Nothobranchius furzeri: one gene and its partners. The protein of the gene in region 1 purifies or fractionates together with the protein of each later gene. This does not show direct contact. Links are inferred from orthologs where the notes say so. Each region holds a gene or a part of one and is shown on either strand. Other genes may lie near its edges.

Evidence for each region. Proteins that work in one complex are often made in the same cells at the same time.
Region 2: the proteins of dbn1 (region 1) and tmod1 purify together in Homo sapiens (co-immunoprecipitation; 3 studies listed by BioGRID and IntAct, with this or other methods). This does not show direct contact. The link is inferred for Nothobranchius furzeri from reciprocal best matches to the Homo sapiens genes DBN1 and TMOD1.
Region 3: the proteins of dbn1 (region 1) and gelsolin purify together in Homo sapiens (co-immunoprecipitation; 3 studies listed by BioGRID and IntAct, counting the BioPlex papers as one, with this or other methods). This does not show direct contact. The link is inferred for Nothobranchius furzeri from reciprocal best matches to the Homo sapiens genes DBN1 and GSN.

What each region holds. Positions count from the first base shown.
Region 1 is NC_091750.1:71,043,843-71,051,113, reverse strand, and holds part of dbn1 (drebrin), read right to left. Parts: intron 6,207-7,271; coding exon 6,063-6,206; intron 5,861-6,062; coding exon 5,783-5,860; intron 5,692-5,782; coding exon 5,540-5,691; intron 4,569-5,539; coding exon 4,511-4,568; intron 3,709-4,510; coding exon 3,652-3,708; intron 3,419-3,651; coding exon 3,304-3,418; intron 1-3,303. UniProt on the Homo sapiens protein: Actin cytoskeleton-organizing protein that plays a role in the formation of cell projections. Required for actin polymerization at immunological synapses (IS) and for the recruitment of the chemokine receptor CXCR4 to IS.
Region 2 is NC_091744.1:3,813,323-3,820,599, reverse strand, and holds the start of tmod1 (tropomodulin-1), read right to left. Parts: upstream 5,386-7,277; 5' UTR 5,037-5,385; intron 2,074-5,036; exon of another isoform or gene 2,071-2,073; 5' UTR 1,996-2,070; intron 1,923-1,995; 5' UTR 1,909-1,922; coding exon 1,786-1,908; intron 1-1,785. UniProt on the Homo sapiens protein: Blocks the elongation and depolymerization of the actin filaments at the pointed end. The Tmod/TM complex contributes to the formation of the short actin protofilament, which in turn defines the geometry of the membrane skeleton.
Region 3 is NC_091746.1:40,433,027-40,440,397, forward strand, and holds the start of gelsolin, read right to left. Parts: upstream 4,977-7,371; 5' UTR 4,820-4,976; intron 1-4,819. UniProt on the Homo sapiens protein: Calcium-regulated, actin-modulating protein that binds to the plus (or barbed) ends of actin monomers or filaments, preventing monomer exchange (end-blocking or capping).

The DNA of each region.
Region 1 (7,271 bases):
AGAAGTAAATGGTAAGGAATGAAAACACCCAATTATACAAACAAGTGTAACTGGAAAAATTTGAATATGGTGCAAAAGTCGATTTATTTAAGTAAATCAACTAGACTGAGAGACCATTTAAAGGCTCAGGAACCCTTTGCAGGTGTTTTCTATTTGCTATTCTAATTTTTAATACATTCAGGTCTTGTTTTATTTAACAAAGTGACATTTGAATAATTAAAACCCCTTTTTTTTTCAGAAATTAAGAGCTTGAGTCCATCCACCCATTTTCTTCCACTTATCCATAAGACCTTGAGTTTACAATAATAACACCTATGTATATTGTTTAAGTCCCTGCCTCATTATTTTTAATTAAAAAAAAACATTTTTAGGCACCGTTTCTTGAACAATTACAAAGCGATTAATCAAGCTTAATTAATTACAAAGCCTCTAATTAACTAGATTAATTTTTTTAACAAGTCCCACCCCTAGTTTAAATATAAGTGGACCACCTGCTGGTGAAACATTTTACCTGCAATCTAAGTCATCAACTTAAATATGGGATATTAACAAAAAGAAAGGATACTGGGTCCATTGGCTCTTTGTTGACTTTAGTTTGGTTTAGTTTTTCAGACTAGAAGAAACAAGACGAGATTCTGTCTAGAAGTCAGATTGTGCTGATTTATTTCTGGTCATAAAAGGTAAGATGGTGGTCAGCAAAGGGAGCAGATGCAAAGATTGTGACCATCATTGTTTTAATTTTTTCAGATTTGAATCATCCGGTGGAATAAACGTCATCAACAAATGTGTTTCTTTCAAATGTGGCTCCATTTACGGGAAAATACTCAGAATAGGATCTGCATGAAGCATTGGCAGGCTAACACCAAACTGAACATTACATTTTATTACTTTTGTGCTGAGTTTAGAAATATTTGAATTTGAGTCTTTTATAATCATGAAGCTCTCAAAGGTTAGACTTTTATTTTTATTTGTTTGGTTTAATTCATTTATGAACATCTTTGAATTCTTTATAAATAAACAGGGTATCTGCAGGTTTAAGGGAGCCAAATTTAAGACTTTTTAAGACCTTTTTTAAGGCCACTTTGACCAAATTTAAACCATTATTTAAAATTAAATTTAAGCTATAATTTCCAGCTATTGCCTGGAACCGGTGCTAACCACGTCGCGAACGTGGGATCAGTTACCATTAAACTTGCACTTCCCCATGGCGCAAGCTCCCACTAGGGCTGCTCAATTAATCGAATTTTAATCACGATTACGATCTGAGTTTTGAACCATTATAAAAACAAAACAAGCCGATAATTTGCTCCTCCCACTTGCGCTGCCCTGAGTTGCAAATGAAGCGCTCCTCCCACAGTGTTGCCAACTTGGCGACTTTGACGCTATTTCTAACAGCTTCTCAGACCCCCTTCTTGACTTTTTAAATCTTAAAAATACCTAGTGAACACCTCAGAAACATCTCTGGTAACCCTTAGCTACTTTCTGGATAACTGTCGTCGACATTTCCTGCAGGTTAGCTTAACACTCCGCCTGCGCTCCGGACAGTTCATCAGGACATTAGGAAAGGGAATGATGTAGTGATGTGTCAGTCGCTAAAGAAACGGCTCTCAGAGCCCTGTTGGATTAACCAGAGTGAGTGACACACACCGCACCTGTGGACTCCTGAGCCACTAAAAAGGGCTAAATGTGCGCGTGCGGCGCGCTAAACACACGTGCAGCTTGCCACTGATTGCTGTGAGACCGAGGTGGGGGGTGGGGGGTACAGCTGTGGTTGGGACAATTATTACATTAACTGATGGACTTGTAAATTGTTTGTAAATAAGGTAGAAATAAGTTCCTCACGCTGATAACTAATCCCTCTGAGGACACGGTGCTAGTGCACTCTCCTACAGCACCTTGACACGACTAAATAAATGTTACGCAAAATTGATGTTGATGTGAACATCAATTTATTTGCATTTATTTGTTATAAATGCCACTGTATAATTCTTGCCGTCAGTATTTGCAAGATATTGGTATTTGGGTCTGTACTGGTTAGACTTAAATGAGTTCAACCAAGGTCTATAGCCCTTGGGTCGTAGACTATGAGCTATAAGTATATTGGTCTTTTTATACTGGGAATCAGGAGTTATTTTAGTGATCATTTTGTTTCTTATTTCTTTTTGTCCTGATTGTGCCCTGAGCAATTTTATGACTGAATAAAAACAAATAAAATCAACATAAATTGAAAAATCGTCCTAAATAATCGAGATCTCATTTACAGTCATAATAATCGTGATTATTGTTTTTGCCATAATCGAGCAGCCCTAGCTCCCACTAGCTTAACCAGCTATGTGCTCATCTAAAAACAGCCCCCTTTCACAACCAACTGAATGTGTACGGCTCCACTTACGCCTACATCGTACACAAAAATGCTGAACACTAACTAGAATTTCAGGAAAATTTTATAGAAATAAAAAAATCTTGTTTATTGGGTCTTTGGTAATTTAAGACCTTTGAAAACTGTATTTAAGCATCATTTGTAATTTTTAAGGATTTTTAAGGCCTTAAATTTGGAAAAGCAAATTTAAGACTTTTCAAGGACCTGCGGATACCCTGATAACGCTGGATTAGAATTTTTAAATGCTCCAGTTGTCTCTGAAGTTAAAATTAAAAAATGGAAAAATGTGAATAACGTCACCACAGACAACAATCTGAGGAAGCAGAAGGCTTTCAGCCCAGCAGCACAGCTCTCCACACCTCAGACCATCTTCTGGATGTATGAGTCTGAACCTCTGACTGGCCAAACGATGCCAGGCGGCTGCAGGAGGTCAAAGACGGTTTGGTCTGTTCTATAAGCATTTGTTTGTTTATTTTGGTCTAAATGTTCTTGTGTTCTGGAGGACTGAGTGACAAACACCAAAGCGCTGCAGACAAACAACATGCAGGAATATTAAAATCTGAATTAAAATGAGCATCAAAAGCTGTGAGAACAGCTGGTGTCACAGCGCTGCCTTCCTCACGCAGTGGTTACGGGTGAGAAAATCCTTTCAGCTGATTAAATATTTATAGGAATCTCAGAAATAATGAAGTTCTGCAGAAGCAGCAGCTGAAGGAGGTGTAGAGGCAGTGATGCGTGTGTCTGGATCCTTTATCCCCTGAGATGTTTCGTTCAATCAAAACATTAAACCAACAGATAAAACGAGAGGAATCTCTGATTGAGCCTGCTTTATCCAATGACTGAAACTGTCAGGAGGAACAAACGTCAGTCCCTGTTCCTGGACTGTGGGAACAGAAACTCTCGTTCTGGTTTGGTTTGTTTACCGGTCCTGTGGATGGAGACGGGCGAGGCGTCGATGCTGATGGTCATAGCTCTCTCCTTCTGTTTAAAAAACTCTCGAGGATTTCCCGACCGCTGAGCAATGATGGCCTTTGCTTCCTAAAAAATCAGAATAAATCAGGTTCAGGATGCAGCCAACTAATCTAATCCAATAAACTACACTTAACAATGAACCTGCAACATGGACTATTGGACAGGACAGTTATTCTCATGATTACTTATCATAAACATTTCCTTTTTGTTTTCATTAATCCACACATTTAAACCACGTCACAGCTATTGGGCTTCTTCAGGAACGAGATCATTTTTGAAAAATTCTTCATCAAACTGACCTCCACCTCTGACTCCTTCTTGTCCAGGTGAAGCTCCTCGATGCTCGGTTCAGATGCCTAAAGAGAAAAACTGCAGTGAGAACGAAAAAAGGCCCAACTGAGTTTTATTTACTCTGCAGCCAGCAGGGGGCAGGAGAGGCTAACATTCTTATGAGTAAAAAAATAAAAAATAAAATAAACCAAAGGGATTCTTAGTTTAGAGTTTTGTTTTAAAAGTCCAGACACAGATAATGAGGAAAAATATTTGGTAACACTAAAGTATGGAGCTAAATTAGGGTCAGAATAATTATTGGTTTAATAATTTTCTTAAAGTAGCGTTTGATTGTAAAAAAAAAACAAATAAATAAAAATACATGAATGAAATACTAAGACTGTTATAAGTACCATTTAGAATCTGCTAGTACTACATTTGAATATGAAGGTTTCATCAGTATTATTATATACATTTAGTCAATTTAGTAGATCATTTTCTGGTTTTATGTTTTTAATTTTAATTAATTTAAACTTGAAACCTTGTTTTTTTTTACACTTTAATTTTAGATAGTGTTCAGAAAAAAACTGCTTTGATTAACCAGTAACACATCTAACTTGTTGTGAAATTAAAAACCATTTACTCATGTTGATTACTTCAAATTCCTAATAAAAAAAAAACAAGTAAATAAAAGTGAAACTGAACCTTAATCTAAATCCTTTTTTTTACTATTTTGTTTTTGGAAAAAGGAAACATTTTGGCTCTGATTGGACTCCATATTGTGACTAAATTCTATCAACAAGAATGAAATATTTCTAAAGTGCTTGCTTACGACCATGAAGTATGGAAATAATTGATTAGGACACAAATGTTGGAATAAAAACTCACTATGATGATCTGGTTCCGCAACCTCTCTCTGGCTTCCTCCTCTTCCTGCATCTTCTTCCTGTTTACAACAATTATGTATTAAATGTTTATGTTATTATGGAGAAAGGCCACAGCTGGAAAAATAAATGAAACAAGACAACTGCAGAACTGATATCCACACTAGAGGGCAGCATATAGGTAAAGCACAGCTGGATTGGGAGGAAATCTCGTTAAAGGGGTGGAGAAACGTTTCAGATATTCAACATTTTCCAGAACAGGTGGTTGCTGTTTGGCAGCAAAGCCCAGAAGTATATGTTGGAGTAGAAATAAGCAGTTCTGGACAGGAGGACCTGATCCAGCTCTATGAGAACAATGTGGAGGTTAAAACCTTTACTTGTGGATCCACCAGAGATTTTTGATGTTTAAACGCTGTGATAGTGAGAGGACATCTGAGGCTGAGTCCCATTTCCAGTGGTTATTAACTCTTCCTCTCACTTTAATGTTCAGTATACTCATAGAAAATGGGAAAGCCCTTCAAAATGCTGACTTTTCTTTTCTCAAAAACACAAAAACAAACGATGTTGGTACGATGACTTTGTAAACCTGTACCCGACTTGATAACAAAAGCAAAGAAACATTGAGTAAAATGGGACGGACCTAAAGGATCCCAAACCCACACGCCACCTAAAAGGCAAGAAAACCTGCTAGATCTGACCCAAACCATGACAGAACCACCTCTGTGCTTTACATTTGGAGTCAGAACCAAGGTGTCTTTGATCATTTTATCTCAAATAATCAGGAACAACCTTTCATGGGTTCATCCTCAAGTTCTTTTGTTAAAGTGTTCAGTGATGAGAAAGTCCAGTTTGGGCAGTTCTTCCAGCTGTGTTTAGCTTATAGGAACCAGTGTTTGTGTCCAGATGTTTGCTTTACAATACACTTGTATTTCTGTTTGGTCGCATTTCACAAAAGCATATTCTGTTTCTAAAATGTGCAGAAGGTCCCTCACAAATCCTCTTCACATAAACAGTTCATTGGCTGGATGCCCACCTGTGCTCCTCGATCTGCCGCTCCCTCTCGCGGTACCTCCTCTCTCGGTTCTCCTGCTCCTTCTTCTCCAGCTCCATTCGCTCCTCCTCATAGCGCTGCTGCTCTTCTGCAGCCTTCTTCTTCTCCTCCTCCTTCCTCAGCTCCTCTTCACGCTGCAGAGCAAACAGGAAGAAGCTGATTCTAAGATAATGTGGCACTTTTTCCTTTCTTCTTCTTCTTTTCTCTGTTTTGATCCACACGTACCTTGGCCTGCTCCCAAAACTCCTCTCTATTGATTTTCTTCATCTCCACCTCTGCATTAGTCTTCTGGTATACAGTGCCCTGAAACAAAAGTCATACGGAGAAAGGTCAGCTTTCTTTACTTATAAACAAAGAAAATAAATCTGCTTTACAGGTGAGTTACACGATGGGCTCAGGTGATCTGCGAAGGCTCAAAAATCCACACAATTGTATAAAAAATGCAGTTTAGATTGAATTAAACCCAGTTTATTTGAACAAGTCGGCCTTTTTGTGTGTGTTGTACCACATCCGCGTTTTCTTCGTCTCTGGTTTTCAGGCGACTCAGAACCGGGCTCGCCACCGCCACCGTCCCATTGACCAGCCGCTGCCCGATGGCCATTGGGTCGATGTCCTCCAGACTGCTGGCGTTGATGATGACCTCCACGCCCTGCAGTAACAGATTCATTTGGTGGTTGAAAGAAAAATAATTTTATTAAATGGTTTTTTTTTAATCCCAAAGTTTAAACACCAGAGAGCAAACTTTGACGACATCATCTGATGCATCAAATTAGCTCAAACGTTGGAAGCTGCGGAAAGTCGAATTTAATGAGCGGATCTCGTCAACTCCATTTTGGTAGGCTGAAATTCACATCAGCTAAAGATTTAGTTTAAAACAACCATTGCAACATTTGTTTTACAACTTTAACATCCGCCTCATGTTTTGATTATAAACATTTTGAAAAAAAAAACAACGAAACATGTGGTAACTAAACAATCTAGTATTTAAAACGGAACAATTTACTGTCTCATTTAATTATAAAAACTATATAAATATATATTTTTTATGTAATTCCATGACAATGTAATAAAAATGAAGACATAAAATTGTCCCTCGCCCCCTGTAGGTCCTCCACCAGGGGGCAGTAGACATGTATAGGTTTCTGATGAAGGCACTAATCCTGATGCTCCGTCCGGAGAACGTGGTTTGATGATGATAACGGAGAAGAGGTTAAGATGACCTCACCTTCTATAATGCTAAATAAAACAAAGTAGTGAAGAAACACACGAGTGTGTGAAGTGAATTCCCGGGGGACTCCTATATCAGACCACTGGGCGGGGCTTCAGACTTCCAATCCATTTTAATGGAAGTTTTATTTTTTTATTTAACACTGGAGCTGAAGGTTGCATTATTTATACACCTAGAAGCTTCCAGTCCTTAGAAAACACCTCAAGCTGCTTTCACTTCCTGTAAAGTGGAAGGGCTGAGTGCCAGGATGTGTGAGGCTCACCCCGTCTTTCCACCGGAGCCGTCAGCAGCACGTTACTGCAGCAGCACGTCTTGCTCGCGTAAGCTGCTGCTTGGCCCTTCCCACGAGACGCGAAGCAGCAGGGGAGCAGCTGTCACCGACCGAGCACGAAGTCACACGAGTGACTTCGTCAGTAAACACAACAACAAGCAGGAAAAAAACTACAACATGGCTCCAAAATGTTTGTGTTTTATGTTCTGTCCGTT
Region 2 (7,277 bases), on another chromosome or scaffold:
CGTAGCATTTGCTATCCGTAGCTTTAGCAGCAGAGAGTAGTGCCAACTCAGCTACTTTGTCGCTATTCCTAACACCTAGTGACGAACCTAGCTACATTTCTGAGGACCCTTAGCTACTTTCTTCTAGATATTTCCTACAAATTAGCAACAAAATAGCCATTTTCGCTCCGAACCGTTCTTTGAACGTTGTTTCAGCTGTCATCAAGGATATAAGAGCTACAGATATAAAAGACAATACTGGTGCTTTAGCTCACCTAGAAAGACAACGGACTCCCGTGCGGAAGATAAGGGTTCAAATCTAGATGTGAACATAATTTATTTAGAGTTTATTTTTTACATTTATGGTATTTTTTTACAGTAAGATGCCCAAATGGTTATTTGAAACTCGTCGAACGGCATTGAATTCACAGATAAAAAAGATGTGGGTTCAACTTTCATTTTGGAACAATTTTTCAAGCAACGGAAGGGAATGATCTGTCAAGCTGATGGACTGACCCATCTTAAACCTTTGTTGGCTGTGCTTAAGAGAAAGGTACAGAACCAAATTATTTAATTAATTAGCTGCGTGTTCTCCTGTCCTCTGTCTTCCGGGCCACACACACACACGGAGCTGACTGTCAGCTGTTATGTTCCTTAAGGAGTGTGCACGTACAGCATGCGCGCCTCGTGCACGAGCCTACTATTGAAGCTGCCGTTACGCTTTTTGCCTGAGGGGGCAACCGCAAGCATAAATATTCAAAACTCTGTAAAGTCCCTTTAACATTCATGGACTCACCCATCTTGGCTCGCAACGGGGAAGGCTGTTGTTTAAGCATCCAGGAAACAGCAGAGAACATCTTGGCTAGCAGAAGCTAATCATCGCATTAGCAACTCAACCACATGGCAGAAGCTCCTCCAGCTCCAAGCTTGTGTTATTTGTAGAGATAAAATATCAACGTTACAGAGCAAACAGAGTCAGTGGTAGAGTAGCGTTGCTGTTGGCCAATCTGAGGGAGATGTCCAAATATCAGGAAAAAACACTTCAAATCCTCCCGTCTTCTGCCACTCTCTGTCATGATATATTGATTAAATGAGTGTCCGACACCTTTAAATGAATGCACATCACCAACCACCTTTCAAACCAAAAATCATCTTTTATCAAGAACTAATTGTTATTAAAATAAAATAATGTGCAACTTCACCTAAGATTGCAAGATCTTGTGTAATTTATCACCACTAGTGTGTTGTGAACGACTCAGCTACTAACACATCAGGTCTTAGCTTAAAGCTATTTTTGGAAATAATTATGTGCTGTTATTGATTAATTTTTAGGACTTTATTATTATTATTATTATTATTAATAATACATCAAACTTATACAGCGCTTTTTAGGACACTCAAAGACGCTTTCATGCACTCTCACATTCACACACTGCTACTGATAGTGAGCTACTTAGTAGCCACTGCTGTCCTGGAGCGGTCTGACAGAGGCGCCGCTGCCATTTGGCGCTGTTGGCCCCTCTGACCACCACCAACACAGGCAAATTTGGTGAAGTGTCTTTCCCAAAAACACAACAGCAGGATACCCCTGGCAGGAGCTGGAATTAAGCCCATGACCCTCCAATCATGAGGCAACCCGCTCTACCACCTGAGCTACTGCTGCCCCTCATCATAATCAACCCAATAGTACACCACCACCGTCTAATCCAACAGGAAATATGAAGTTGCAGTAATAGTAACTCTGCACCTCCACAGTAGGCCAACACCGTAATCTCCTCCTTATCGACTGAAATAGCATAAACTTACATCAGGATCGAGCTCCTCTAATTCATCCTCTAACCGCTGCAGCTCCTCTTCTGAGAGCTTCTTCAGCAGCTCGTCCTCGTCTATGTCCCTGTACTTATCCATCTCCTTCTTTAATACAGACATTATGAACAGCACACCTGGAAAGAGACAGCTTGAGTTAAAACAAAAATAAATAACATTGAGCCAGGAGACGTCAAAAAGCTGTCTCACCTTAATAACCCCCCAAACCGGACACACGCGACAAAGGCAATCAGACTTTAGATTCCAGGTCTGACCTGAAAAGATCTGCTGGAAATAAACAAATAGAAAACAGAATAAGTGAATGATAATTTAAAGGTGTGGAACACTGAAAAAAAAACATTTTTTTAAACTTATTTCTGATTATAATCGGTCACTCTGAGTTTTTCATGCAGGCTGAACATGAAAATAGTCTCCTACACCTATCTCCTGCATTAGCTTCTGATAGAAAATAGACAGTGAAACAGATCTACGTCAAACTGTCGCTTAACATTCATGGACTCATCCATCTTGACTCGCGATGGGGAAGGCTGTTTTTGGTTTAACATCCAGGAAACAGCAGAGAACTTCTCGACTAGTAGAAGCTAACTATTAGCATTAGCAACTCCCCCACACAGCAGAACGCCTCCAGGCTCATGTTATTTCTGGAGATAAAACATCAACGTTGCAAGTCAGCGTTAGAGTCGCGTTGCTGTTATCCAATCCAGGGCGAGATGTTCAAATATCAGCAAATAAGACTCCGAAACCCGCCGACTGAAGCGCGGTTGAGATGTGGCTCACGTCCAGCTCCTGGAAATGGCCCACCAGTGTTTTTGCCCCCCCCTCCCCCAAGTATGAATTACAAGGCTTTCATTCCTACTAAAGACCAATACAATGCATGGTAGCACAGTTGTTAGCATTGTTGCCTTGCAGCAAGAAGGTTGCAGGTTCGAAACTCTGCTGTGGCCTTTCTGCGTGGAGTTGCATGTTCTCCCCATGCATGCGTGGGTTTCCTCCAGGTACTCCGGTTTTCCCTACAGATCACAACATGCCCTACGAGTTACAAATTGTACGCCGGTTTGGATAAAAGCGTCTGCCAAATGAATAAACAGAAACAGAAACAAATTGATTAAACGAGTGCCCCACACCTTTAAAATAAACCTCATAATTAAACAATAATGATAATAATCACATGGTTTATTCTAAGATGGCTTTCAGGACATAATGGAGGTCTGCTTTTGTCTTCAGAGTGTTTTGTCTCTGTGAGGTTAGATGACTGATGCTACATCAGCGGCATGGGGACATTTACCCCATGACCAAACAGTCTGGTGTGTTTAGCCTCCACTGATGGATGTCCACCTGACAGCAGTTAGCTTAAATGCTATTTTTTAAAATCTTTTTAATCTATATTATGTCTCAGAGCAAATCTGTGTGTGTGTGTGTTTAATATGTTCTTATTACGCTCAGTCAAGCAAGACTTATCTCATTTGGTTCTCTCATTTAGATCAAGTTTCCAAAACGTATGATTAAGAACTGGGCTGACGTCCAAAATCACAGACTGGAAGAGGCTGACCTGCTTGTGATGATGAACAGACGCTTTTGCCTGTGTTTGTGTTATAAACAAGAACTTTATCTGTGAGGAAGAAACTAGAAACTTGAAGATTCACCAAAGAGGCATCGACCTCTGCCCTCTAAAACAAACCTGCTCCGGTCATAAATCCCCTCAGAGCAGCTTGGCTGAAACAAGATCTCTGACAAATACGAATCTCAAGATGTGAAATTTATTACCTCTAAGTCAGAGTGTTTGCCAGCATGCAGGTCTGTAAATCTTTCAAGTTGCATATTTTTTAAATATGAGATCCAAAACATAATTCTCCAAGAGAAGCTAAACAGCCAATAAATCAGCTGGAACAGCAGAGCAGGAAGTGACTTCATGACATGTCCTTTTTGCTAAATGTCCTACAACCGGACAAAAAAATCTGACCTGAGTCCAACATTTTTTCTAAACCACGGAGCCCTCTAAATAAAGACATGTCAAATAAAGAGGTTGATATGAAAATAAACGTAACTCTAAAATCTCTTTTTCGCTTGCTTAAAGGAGTGGAGCACTTGTAAGTCGTAATCTGGGGGACAGAAAACAACGGTGCTCTTTTTCCAGGAGCTAGAAGTGAGTCACATCACAGCTGAGCTTCAGACGACAGGTTTTGGAGTCTTATTTTCCGACATTTCTCGCCTTAAATTGGAGAACAGCAACGCGACTCTACCACTGACTTGAAATGATGTTTTATCTTATGGAGGAGTTCTGCTGTGTGTTGGAGTTGCTAATGCTAACAGTTAGCTTCTACTAGTCGAGAAGTTCTCTGCCGTTTCCTGGACCGTAAAACAACAGCCTTCTTTGTCAGGAGCATGGGTGAGTTCATCAACGTTAAGTGACAATGTGACGTAGGTCTGTCAGGGTTTTTAGATCCTAGTTTCACCATTTATTTTCTATCAGAAGCTAGTGCCGGAGATAGGTGTAGGTTATTTTCATGTTCAGCCTGCATGAAAACCTGAGTGACCAATTATAATCAGAAAGAGTCATTATGAATGTGTTCTACACCTTTAATAAACTAGAATTTAAAATCTAAAGAGCAGAAAGACAACTGTCACATTTCCTAATGCATGGACCACAGGAGGACAGTGACGGGTTTCTGCTGTAAGTGCGAAGACTGCGTCCAATTGCTTTGCCCTAAAATTACACTTGAACTTAGTGATTTGCACAAACCTCCTTCACTAGTTCTTCCAGATCATTAAAAAGACAAATTTCTTATAGTTATTGAGCTAATTTGTGCTTCAGCAGCGATTTAGATGTAAAGGATTTTGAGAAATAAGGGATTTTCTTACCTGAAGTCCTCTAAAGGGTCAAATCTGTCTTGTTTTATTAAAGGTCACGCCAATTGGTCTGACAGGCCAAAATTATACAAAGAGGTGTCCACATGTCTTTTAGATGAAACATCAAGCAGCTATGATTCAGGAGAGATGCTGAATAAACTAGATCTGAAGCCACGCAGATTTGCACGATGGTGGGAAAAATAAACTCCTCAATAGTTTTTCAATGAGCAGTGAGATATCATATGGAATACAGATTCAGTTTGAGCTGTGTGGCTTACGTGAAACTTTGTCCCCCATGCAAAAACATCAAAGTCAGCATGCACATGTTTGACTGCTTTATTGCACACAGACTATAGAGGTTTATTCTACATTATTTTACGTACCTCTTCCGGCGCTATTAATAGACAGTCGGCCCGGCTGGGTGACAGCAGCGAATACTTTGACCAGATATGGCTTCCCTCGGAGCCGCGGTGCGTGGTCAACTCCGCCGCCGGCGCACAATCCCGGGAATCAGATAAAACTCTGCAACTCCAAACCGCCCATAACCCGCGGAAAGATCCGGCAGATTTCAGCGAGCACACACAGTTTCCTCCCCGTCCCTGGAAGCGTCTTGGTGGTTTTGTGAAAGCTGAATCTCATCTCCCGCAAAGGGCAAAGTAAACTTATTGGGAGAGAGATTCTCCTCCTCTTCCTCCCTGCACGCGCGGCTGCCCGGTCACTCCCGTGATGTCATGAAGCGACGCGGCGTGCATTATCGGACACGGTGATGTGGGCCTACTTAAAGAGCAAGTCACCCCCCAAATCAACTTTTTTTTTCTGATAAACTATATAAATGTGTGTCTAATCGTGCTGCAGACACGTGTAGTCAATAGTTTTACACGTTAGTGCATTTTAGTTAAAATTTAAATTTTCTGCCTGAAACGGTCAGTGTTGTGCCGTTGTCAGGTAAAAACTCTTCACTGCATTTGAATTTAAATCTGCCACCGCTATTGGCTAAGAGGTATGCTATGATGTAAACTGGTACATTATGATGTCACAATGTCGTGAGTGTGTGTATTGGTTAGTGGCTCCACCCTCTCGGTCTGCTAGGCAACAGCATTTGTTGCATTTTTCAAACATGAAGTGGGAGTGGAGTTCACTTCTTGTAAGGGGTGACTTGCTCTTTAAATAATAATATTATAATTGACACGTGGATCCGATGTAAATGTCTGTTTAGGGGCGCAGAATGTAACAAACAAAACACAAAAATTACCGGTTTGACCACATTTAGCTTTGGTTAACAGTAAAAAAGTAACGATTAAATCCACCAGGTAGGACCAAACATTTAAATATCACTTTTAAACTGAACTTCAGCCGCCCCTAAAACAGAAGTAGCCTATCAAATCTAAAAGCGGGGTAGAGCTCTCCAACTTGTCTGAGTTCCTTTGATAAGAATGTGTGAATCTGTTAAACACACATCATTTAAATCAGTAAAATAGTTTAATTTCCTACAAAAATATTAAATTTGGTTGGAAAACAGGCACTTGATAAAATATAGTTTCTGCACTGAGTTTTTGCACAATTTAACATCTAAAATTCGGGGAAATATGACTCACTTGCACAGTTTCAAGAGAAAAGAAGAGATCCAGCAATCTCTAAACTATTGGTCCACACAATCTCTGCCGTTGGGATGCAGCAGAAAAGTATCCTGGAACTGGTAGAAGATGTGGAAGATAAGGAGATAAAGACATCAGGATGAAAAAAATACAGCATCTGGACTGATCAAACTCAATGGGCTCACTAGAAGAACCCAAACTTCTAGTAGTAGCATGGGCGAGCTGAAAAGGTCCCAGTCACTCACTTGACCTGGTTCATCAGGTAATAAATATTCACACTGGCAAAATCAAACTCTTCAATGCATAAATCAATAGAGCACAATAACCAATACAACTCTGGAATTAAAGGAACACTTCTACGAGGAGCTACAAACATTACAGTATCCGGATCACTACCTACAAGATATGGCACATGAGCTACATTCAAACACTAACTTCTCTAACTCTGTCAACACCTGCTGCTACACCAAAGAGCAGTTTGATCAGCTCAACAGCAGATTTTGTATTTACATTAACAGCAGACGTTTGTAATGACTTGAGACATTTCACTAGACTATTCACAGCAGCATCAGAAACCTTTAGTCAAATGGTCACACATGTGTTCATAACAATTAGAAGATTAAGTGTGGTGGAGGGGTTCCTATGTTTGTATGCAAAAGTGTGATAGAAAACATATGCAGAGCTGTAAATAACATTATCGAATGCATAACCTAAGAAAGGTGTAATGGTTGATTACAAATGCACGGAAACACATGAATCAATAAATGATATTGTAACGGATTTAGTTAAGACTGGCAAGTAACTATAAATGAAGCATACAAGGATTTTTTAAGGATATTTTCAATATGTTATAAAACTTGCTCTATTAAAATAAAAATAAACCTCAACCCAAAATACTATTAACGTAACTGTTTTAATAACGCAAACAACAAACGGTGACATGAAACACAAACTTCTACTCATATCTTAACAGTGAATTAGAGGTATTAGTGTGAAACATATTAAAAAAAGCTTCAACCAAAAGACACA
Region 3 (7,371 bases), on another chromosome or scaffold:
AAAATGTATCGTTATCGAAATTTCTGACTCTTATCGAGATCATTGTTCCCATGTCAATAAATTTGATGAAAAATGAAAAGATGTGTGAAGGTTGGCAACGTTCATGCCACTTTAAGAAGCTGTACCACCTTGACTCATGTAAAAATGTGTCACAGCGTAATACATGTGACAGCCCCATCTAGTGGACAACTTTTGTTTCTGCGCATACCTGTAGTTCTCGTCCATTTATCGTCATCATGGTGAACTCCTCAATATATTGTGATATTGATTTTAGGCCATATCAACCAGCCCTAATTCTAAGCATTGTCCTTAACCCATCATTATATGCAACAGTGAGTTTCCTTATGCTGCTTTACTTGTAGTAACTCCTTATCACAAACTTAAAGGTGCAAGTTGTAAGAATGACATCCTGTAGTCAAACTTGGTTACCGCTGTCTAGTTTTCTGAGCAAAAAGGTACTATCTCACTGCTGTGGCTGTTGCCAGCTATGGAACAGCACCAGAAGATTCTAGATAAGCAAAGGCAAGCCATAGAGCTCCGGGAGTTGACGTCACTTCTCTCGGCATGCAACAGTTCAAATCGAAACGGTGCCATATTGGCAGGCAGAAGCCCGTAGCTGGACTATTTGTTAATGTCAGAAAACTCAATCAAATGGGAAATAAGGTAGATTCCTGTTGTGCCCCAGGATGCAGAACAGATGCGGACGACATAAGGAATGAGCCATCTACAGGATTCCCCAAGATCCGGAACGCCGCAAACGTTGGATCATTGTAATAAAACACACTAGTGACCGGGCTGAAATGAAGCTGTGGGACCCCGAGAGTAAAGGTTTTTGCTTATGCAGCGACGGCTTCATATCAGGTACTTAAACCAATGTTTCCTCAACTGTGTATGGTATTTATTTTAAACGATTTTATTACGTTTCTTAGTGGGCTTCCTAAACTTATTTTGGCGTGGCTTTTTCTGTCTTATTACTCATAGTAACAAGTAAACATCACGTAAAACGCTGTCTCTGAGTTCTGCATGCTGCCGTTTACGTGTTTTATGATCACAGCAATTAACCGGCTAAGCTGTATTTAATTTTCAAGCAATGGTTGATCAATTGTCAGATCACACATAAAAGCACTTTGGATTGCTATTAAAAGTATCCCAGGGGCACCGTAAGGGTCAGAGATGTTTAGTCTATCTAATTTCTGACTATATAAAACGATTTCTTCGGTTTTAAAGTGTGAAGTAAACTCCGACGAAGTAAAATCCAAGCCGATCCCGTTCATGTTCATGTTTATGATCCGTGTTTGTTTACCTTTTTTGCCTGCCAATATGGCGTCTACTAACTGAGAGTCACGTGGGGTCCGGAGCTCTTTACACAGTAAGTTGATAAGTAGATAGCATTGTTTTAGCTGGAGTTAGCTCTCTTGGACGTTTTAACTGACTCTTTATTCACTTCACACATACATTTCAGTGTAATATCGAGTTGGTAATTAAAAAAGTAGCTTCAGATATTTTTATAGCCAACATTTTGCTTTAAATTACCATTAGCGTTGTTAGCTTAACGTTAGCTTCTAGCCTTCTTTACCCAACATTAGAATAAAACTAAAAGATGCAGTGGCTTCTTAGAGGTACAAGAAATAACTTCTGGGTCGCTCCTGTTTCCTGGCTTTAGTTCGTTGAAGAATTCTGGAGCTTTTTGCATGCCAGTGTTGAATCACAAATGCCAGAAAAGCAGCATTAGCTCGTCGCATACTTGACAACAACCTCACAGGCAAATTGATTGTAAACAGTAACTATGTCCTTCTTTTGTTTTTGTTTTTTTAAGGAGAAAACTGACATCCCATAGCTGGCGTAGAAGGAAATCTGTTTCAATATAACCTTTCTAACATGAATGAGACATTAGGCCTAATTTAAACTTCTTCTTCAGCTTTTCCGTCCACAAAAAAAAAATGCTAGCTGCATATCTTTGCGCTCCTTCAGTCACAGGTGAATAAACATTCATAGTTTCAGACTATTTCCACCAGGCATTCTTCAATCTGTCTGTGACTGCCACTAAATATCTCTTGACTTTTGAAGCGACAAATATGGTGCTGGTGACACATTTACAGGAATTGGTGTGAGTTAGAAATTGGGGCATCTCTCCGTTTATCTCTGCGAGCACGTTGGAGCTCTTGCGTCAATGCATAATGGCGTTGGCATATCTCTGTCCCGACGCAAATGAAGAATAAATTAGGCTTCAGACTGTTTTGTGATTATTTGACTGTAGAATTCTGACATATTGCTCCTTAAAAAAAAAAAAAAAAAAAAATATATATATATATATATATATTTTTTTTTTTTAAATTTATTTCTTTTTTGCTGCATTGAAACTTTACCAGGCAAGTTGTTATTCTCAGATTCAGAATCTAACCACCTGGAAAGTTGAACCAAACTATCTTTAGTGAAAGGCAAACCTAACATTATACAAATGTCGACAAACCTTTCCATAAAATAAAATATTCCAAAAGCTCCTAAGTCGGGCAGCTGGATCCTCTTAAAAGCTAAAGATCAAAAGACCCTGAACCATAATTATGAGATACTAAAACAGCTCTGTGTAACCAAGCAGCAGCAAATAAATCAATAACATTTACTTCATTTTTGTTAATTTAGAACAGTTTATAAGCTTCATCTCAGAGCCTGGTGAACGTCAAACATGTTAAGGTTAGTTTGAAATTACAGCCCTGAAGGTAAAACATGCATTCTGAAACATCAGAATAGCATCAAAACCTCTCACAAGCGAAGATGCAAATAAAATACCCTGTACATAGCTCCGGATTGGGTAACTTGAGTGAAGAAGAGCCTGTTTGTTTGGATCAGAAACCATGTTGTTGCAGGCATAAATAGATCAGATCACATGATTATCTGTCAGAGGTAGTATGTCTGCAGCCCTGCGGCTCTCTTCTCCTGACTGTGCATCTACAGGCCCACTCGCCACCTCTTTCCTCAGCTGACAAACACAACATGCTTCTCGAACTTCACATTTTTGGTCCCATCCCCCATGTTTCACCAGCCTCTGTTGTCTGCCTCCCTCCCGGCGAGGCCTCTGCAAAATCAATTCACTGTGCAGCAAATGCAGATTTATAAGTCAGGAAAATAAATGTTAGGCATTCTTCTGCATCAATTCAGAAAAAAAAATCTAACATGAATGTAAAATCTGGATATGAGGGCTTAAACAGCGTGTTTGCTCTGTTTCCTTCCCCCACCACCTCCTTTAGAAGCAGAGGGCTTTCTGATGACTCATTTTCTCCATGCATGCCACGCTGAGTCTCTTGTCTCAGCTTGACTGGGACATATCAGACAATTCTCTGCGTGGAATAAACAAACCGCTCACTTGAAATCTGTTTACCCAATTAAAATGAGAATTTAAGACAATACAAACAACCTCTCTGAAATCACAGAGGGGCCTTTTGGGAATCATGTAGCTGTAAACAGCTCTGAGAATGAGAAGGCAGTTTCTAACTTCTTCTTTTGACTGAAATAATAAAACAAAGCATAGAAACACAGATCTCAGCTTAGCAAAAGTACCTGCAGTCAGTGGAGAGCTGTCTTTACGTCCAGGCAGCTGACCGTTAACCATGTATATATATATATATATATATATATATATATATATATATATATATATATATATATATATATGTAAAGGGGTGTGGTGTTTTTTTTTTACTAGGCTAGAATCATGCTGCTGGATTTCTGGTGAAGATGTAATAAGTTACTGCAAATCTGTAATATTTGGTTATGTATGTCCCTGATTTTCAGAAGAAACCGACACAGCTTGTGCTTTATTAGCAAATAACTATAGCCTGTATGCCCATCATTTAAATTTGAAAGAAATTTGGTGCATTTTTAAAATAAGCTGCAATGCCAAACATCAGCTGCACAAAATCAAAACAAAACAAAAAATACTTAGATCATGTGAGGTTTGTGAAAGTTGGATTAACTGTCAGCTTGTTTCACTGGGTTGAAGCCATTTTTGTGTTTGCTGCAGTGGCCATCTTGAATTAGGAAGAGTCTAAACGTTATTTTGTAGTAGGTATTTGGTAAAGGTCACCTTTGAGAGTGTAGTTTAAGTCTGTCCTGTGGTGCATGAGGTATTCTGCAAACATGCAAAAAAGATCACCTGCCATCAAAAGTCATTGGTTTTCAACAGCTACTGGAAACTAGCTGAAGTGGGCCATAATTATGAAAAAAGTTCTGCAGATAAACGCTCACACATGGGTGCATGGGTCTGCAGAGAAGTAAAACCTGCAAGGGAGGAGGTCAGATTTTTAGGGATTGTATTTTTCTGACAGTACTGACATGGCTACACTTAAAGCAGAAATGTCTGATGCCATTTGTGGAAACAGAAACAACAGCTCATCGTTTGACTCAGAGGATGTCAACTTCCTCAAAACAGCTGGCTGTAACCATGACAACCATAGGATGTGAGGATGTGTAGAGTGATTTATCAGTGTGCACTCTTTAGGTGTTTTTAACATTTATTTTAGACTTAGTTTATTTATTTATTTATTTGGTTAGTTGGTTGCCGCGTCTCACTGATTATCCATATTAGGAAACTTCCGGTAAAGGAAATTTTTTTTTAGTTGTCTTCCAAAAAAATAATATAATAACATTGGGAAAAACAGTGCGGATCATTTCTTTTCTGGGTTTGGGTTTTATTCCGCCAGGACGTTTTTTTTTTTCTTTTTTTTCCAGGTTGACTCGTCAGACTAGACGCGGTGTTAAATCCAGATTTGGTTAATCTCCAGTTCAATTTAAAGAGTAAACCTTCTGCAGATGCAGGTTTTACCTGAATGTGGAGGCTGTGGACGGACCGGTGTGGACCTGGACGAGCAGCGGGGAGACGACCGGGCTGCAGCAGGAGAAGAGAGGTCTCGAGTCGCCGGCAGAGCAGAGCGAAGAGCCGCAGTCTGGCTCTGTAACGGGACGGGACACTCCCTAAACACACACCAACCCTCCCTCCGTGGTGCTTTTGTGTGTGTGTGTGTGTGTGTGTGTGTGTGTGTGCTTGAATTCATGGGTTTAAGTGGATAAATTTTAACTTTAACCTGGCAGATTTAGCAATTTGGGGACCCAATGCGAACACAGACATGGGCCCCTTACACTAAATTTTCGACAATCTTATCTTTAACTGGATTTGCGAAACTCCACCCTCTTCTGACATGAGTTATTTTCACTTTTTATTAGTCCTCCTCTTTTTCCCTGTCTTTCTCTCCCTTTGAGCGCCTTCAATATTTGCTCTGCTTTCTTCTTCCTGTCAGTGCTCCTGTGCTTTTGCCTTTCTTTTTATTTCTATTTTCCATTTTGGTCTATGTTTTTCTCCCTTTAAATATTTTCCATTGTCTTTCCTTTTCTGCTTCCTTTTTATGTTTACATTGAAAAATGATGTCACTTTTGGAAGTGAATATAAAAGCTTTTTTAAAGCATGCTGTTTCTTTCTCTTACTGGAGCCACTATAGGATAACTCCTTTTCATGTTTAATGTTTTGACTATCGCTTTGAGTTTGTTACGAACGCTCCCGTCTCTCTTCTTCTTTTTCTGCTTTCTCTTCATCTTCTTATTTGTGGTCTTACAGCACTTGGCAAACAACAATTTGGTGCATTACTGCCACCAACTGGATTGGAGTGGAATGACTACCAATCACTTCCAGTTTGTGAATCGGCATCCTAAAGCAATAGTTCATTGTGGCATTAACAGAGGGGTGCCAGCAGTCAGGGCTAGGGGCCCCCCCCAACATAAGGGGGCCCCATGCGGCCGCCGACATATGCCTAATGGTAAAACCGCCACTGGTGTGTGGACATTTTTACATTGTGGGGACATTTTGCTGGTTAACACAATGTGGAGCACCCTAAAATTTGGTCTTAGAGGTATGCAGTGGCGGCTGGCCAGTAGAGGGCGATAGGGCGCCGCCCTCCCAGTTTCCCCTGTGTTTTTAATTTTTATTTTAAAAAATAAATAAATAAAATTAACAATAATCACATATTCTAAGTTAATTGTGTGTTTTGTAACAAAAATAAATCATATATGTATATCTATATTGGTCTCTGCCGGTCTCTGCCGATCTCTGCCGATCTCTGCCGGTCTCTGCCGAGTGGTGGAGGCTGTGTGCTGTTTTTCAATCGCCCAAACAGGATGAGACCAGTTGTCCAATTGCTGACAAGAAAATCAAAGGGTAGGAATGGGAATGTATCCAATCAGCGTCGACGTTGTTTCAGAACGTTTCAGAAGCATGATGGGCGATAGAGCTACCGCCAAGGCTTTCGTTGATGTTCGGTAGAACTTGGAGAGTCTCGACTCCAGCACGTTTTGACGGTCGTGACGCAGACGTAGACATGGACGCCAGTGCGCCTACAACATGGATACCGGATCTCAGCAGCCACTGAATTCAGTTCGGTCTCCTCCAGTATCCGTTCGAGAGGAGAACTATGGTGGAAAAACTTAATGTCAAAGAGCTTGGACCAGATCAGCCCGACGTAAAGATAAGCCAGCAGGAGAAGGAGAAGGGTAAACTGTATACACGACGCTTCTCCCAAAATTGGTACACCAGGAAGCAGTGGCTAGCTGGATGCAATCACGCTAATGCGTTATTTTGCTTTCTGTGTTTGTTATTCAAAACGGCTGGGATCCACAGAAGGTGGATGTGGAACTTGTGTCTCATTGGGGACTCCATTCATTCTCTGACTGAGGAATGCAGCGCATCAGTGCAGCAGCCAACAAAGAAATGGAGGACGTTTGGACAGGGAGAACAGCAGCTGGGTGCAGAGGTAAGCTGTACATTACATTTCTGTAAACAAGACAATCAGAATCAGAAATCCTTGGTTGTCCCACAAACCGGGACATTTGTTTAATAACATGTACATTGTTTAATGTGCAATAACTGTAAAAACTAATTTCAACACACATACCTATTATACAAATTTAATCATGTAAATGTGTATTTCAAGTAAATTTGTACATACATCAATCTGATTCCATTTTACTTGTTACACTTCTGCTGCAGCAAACAAATTTCCCAGCTTGGGAAGTGGGAAATATGACATTTGTAAGAGGATACTGATGACATTATTTCCTATGAAAGTGTTTCCACTTTCCATAAGTCCTAACAGTGTAAATTTCTGGCATTTTGTCTAAGTAGTGTTTACTACCATTACTGTAACACTGACCTGCTCATAATTTTTCGTGTTCACTCAAATGTTGAAATTAAACAAAATGTTTTTGTTACTTGCCTCTTGCATTGCCTATTTACCATTTATGGTCATGTTATTTTATGTGCAATTTAATGCAGTATTTTTCAACCTTGGTCCGCAAGGCAGTTTGCCAATAGTCAGACACACCTGGATT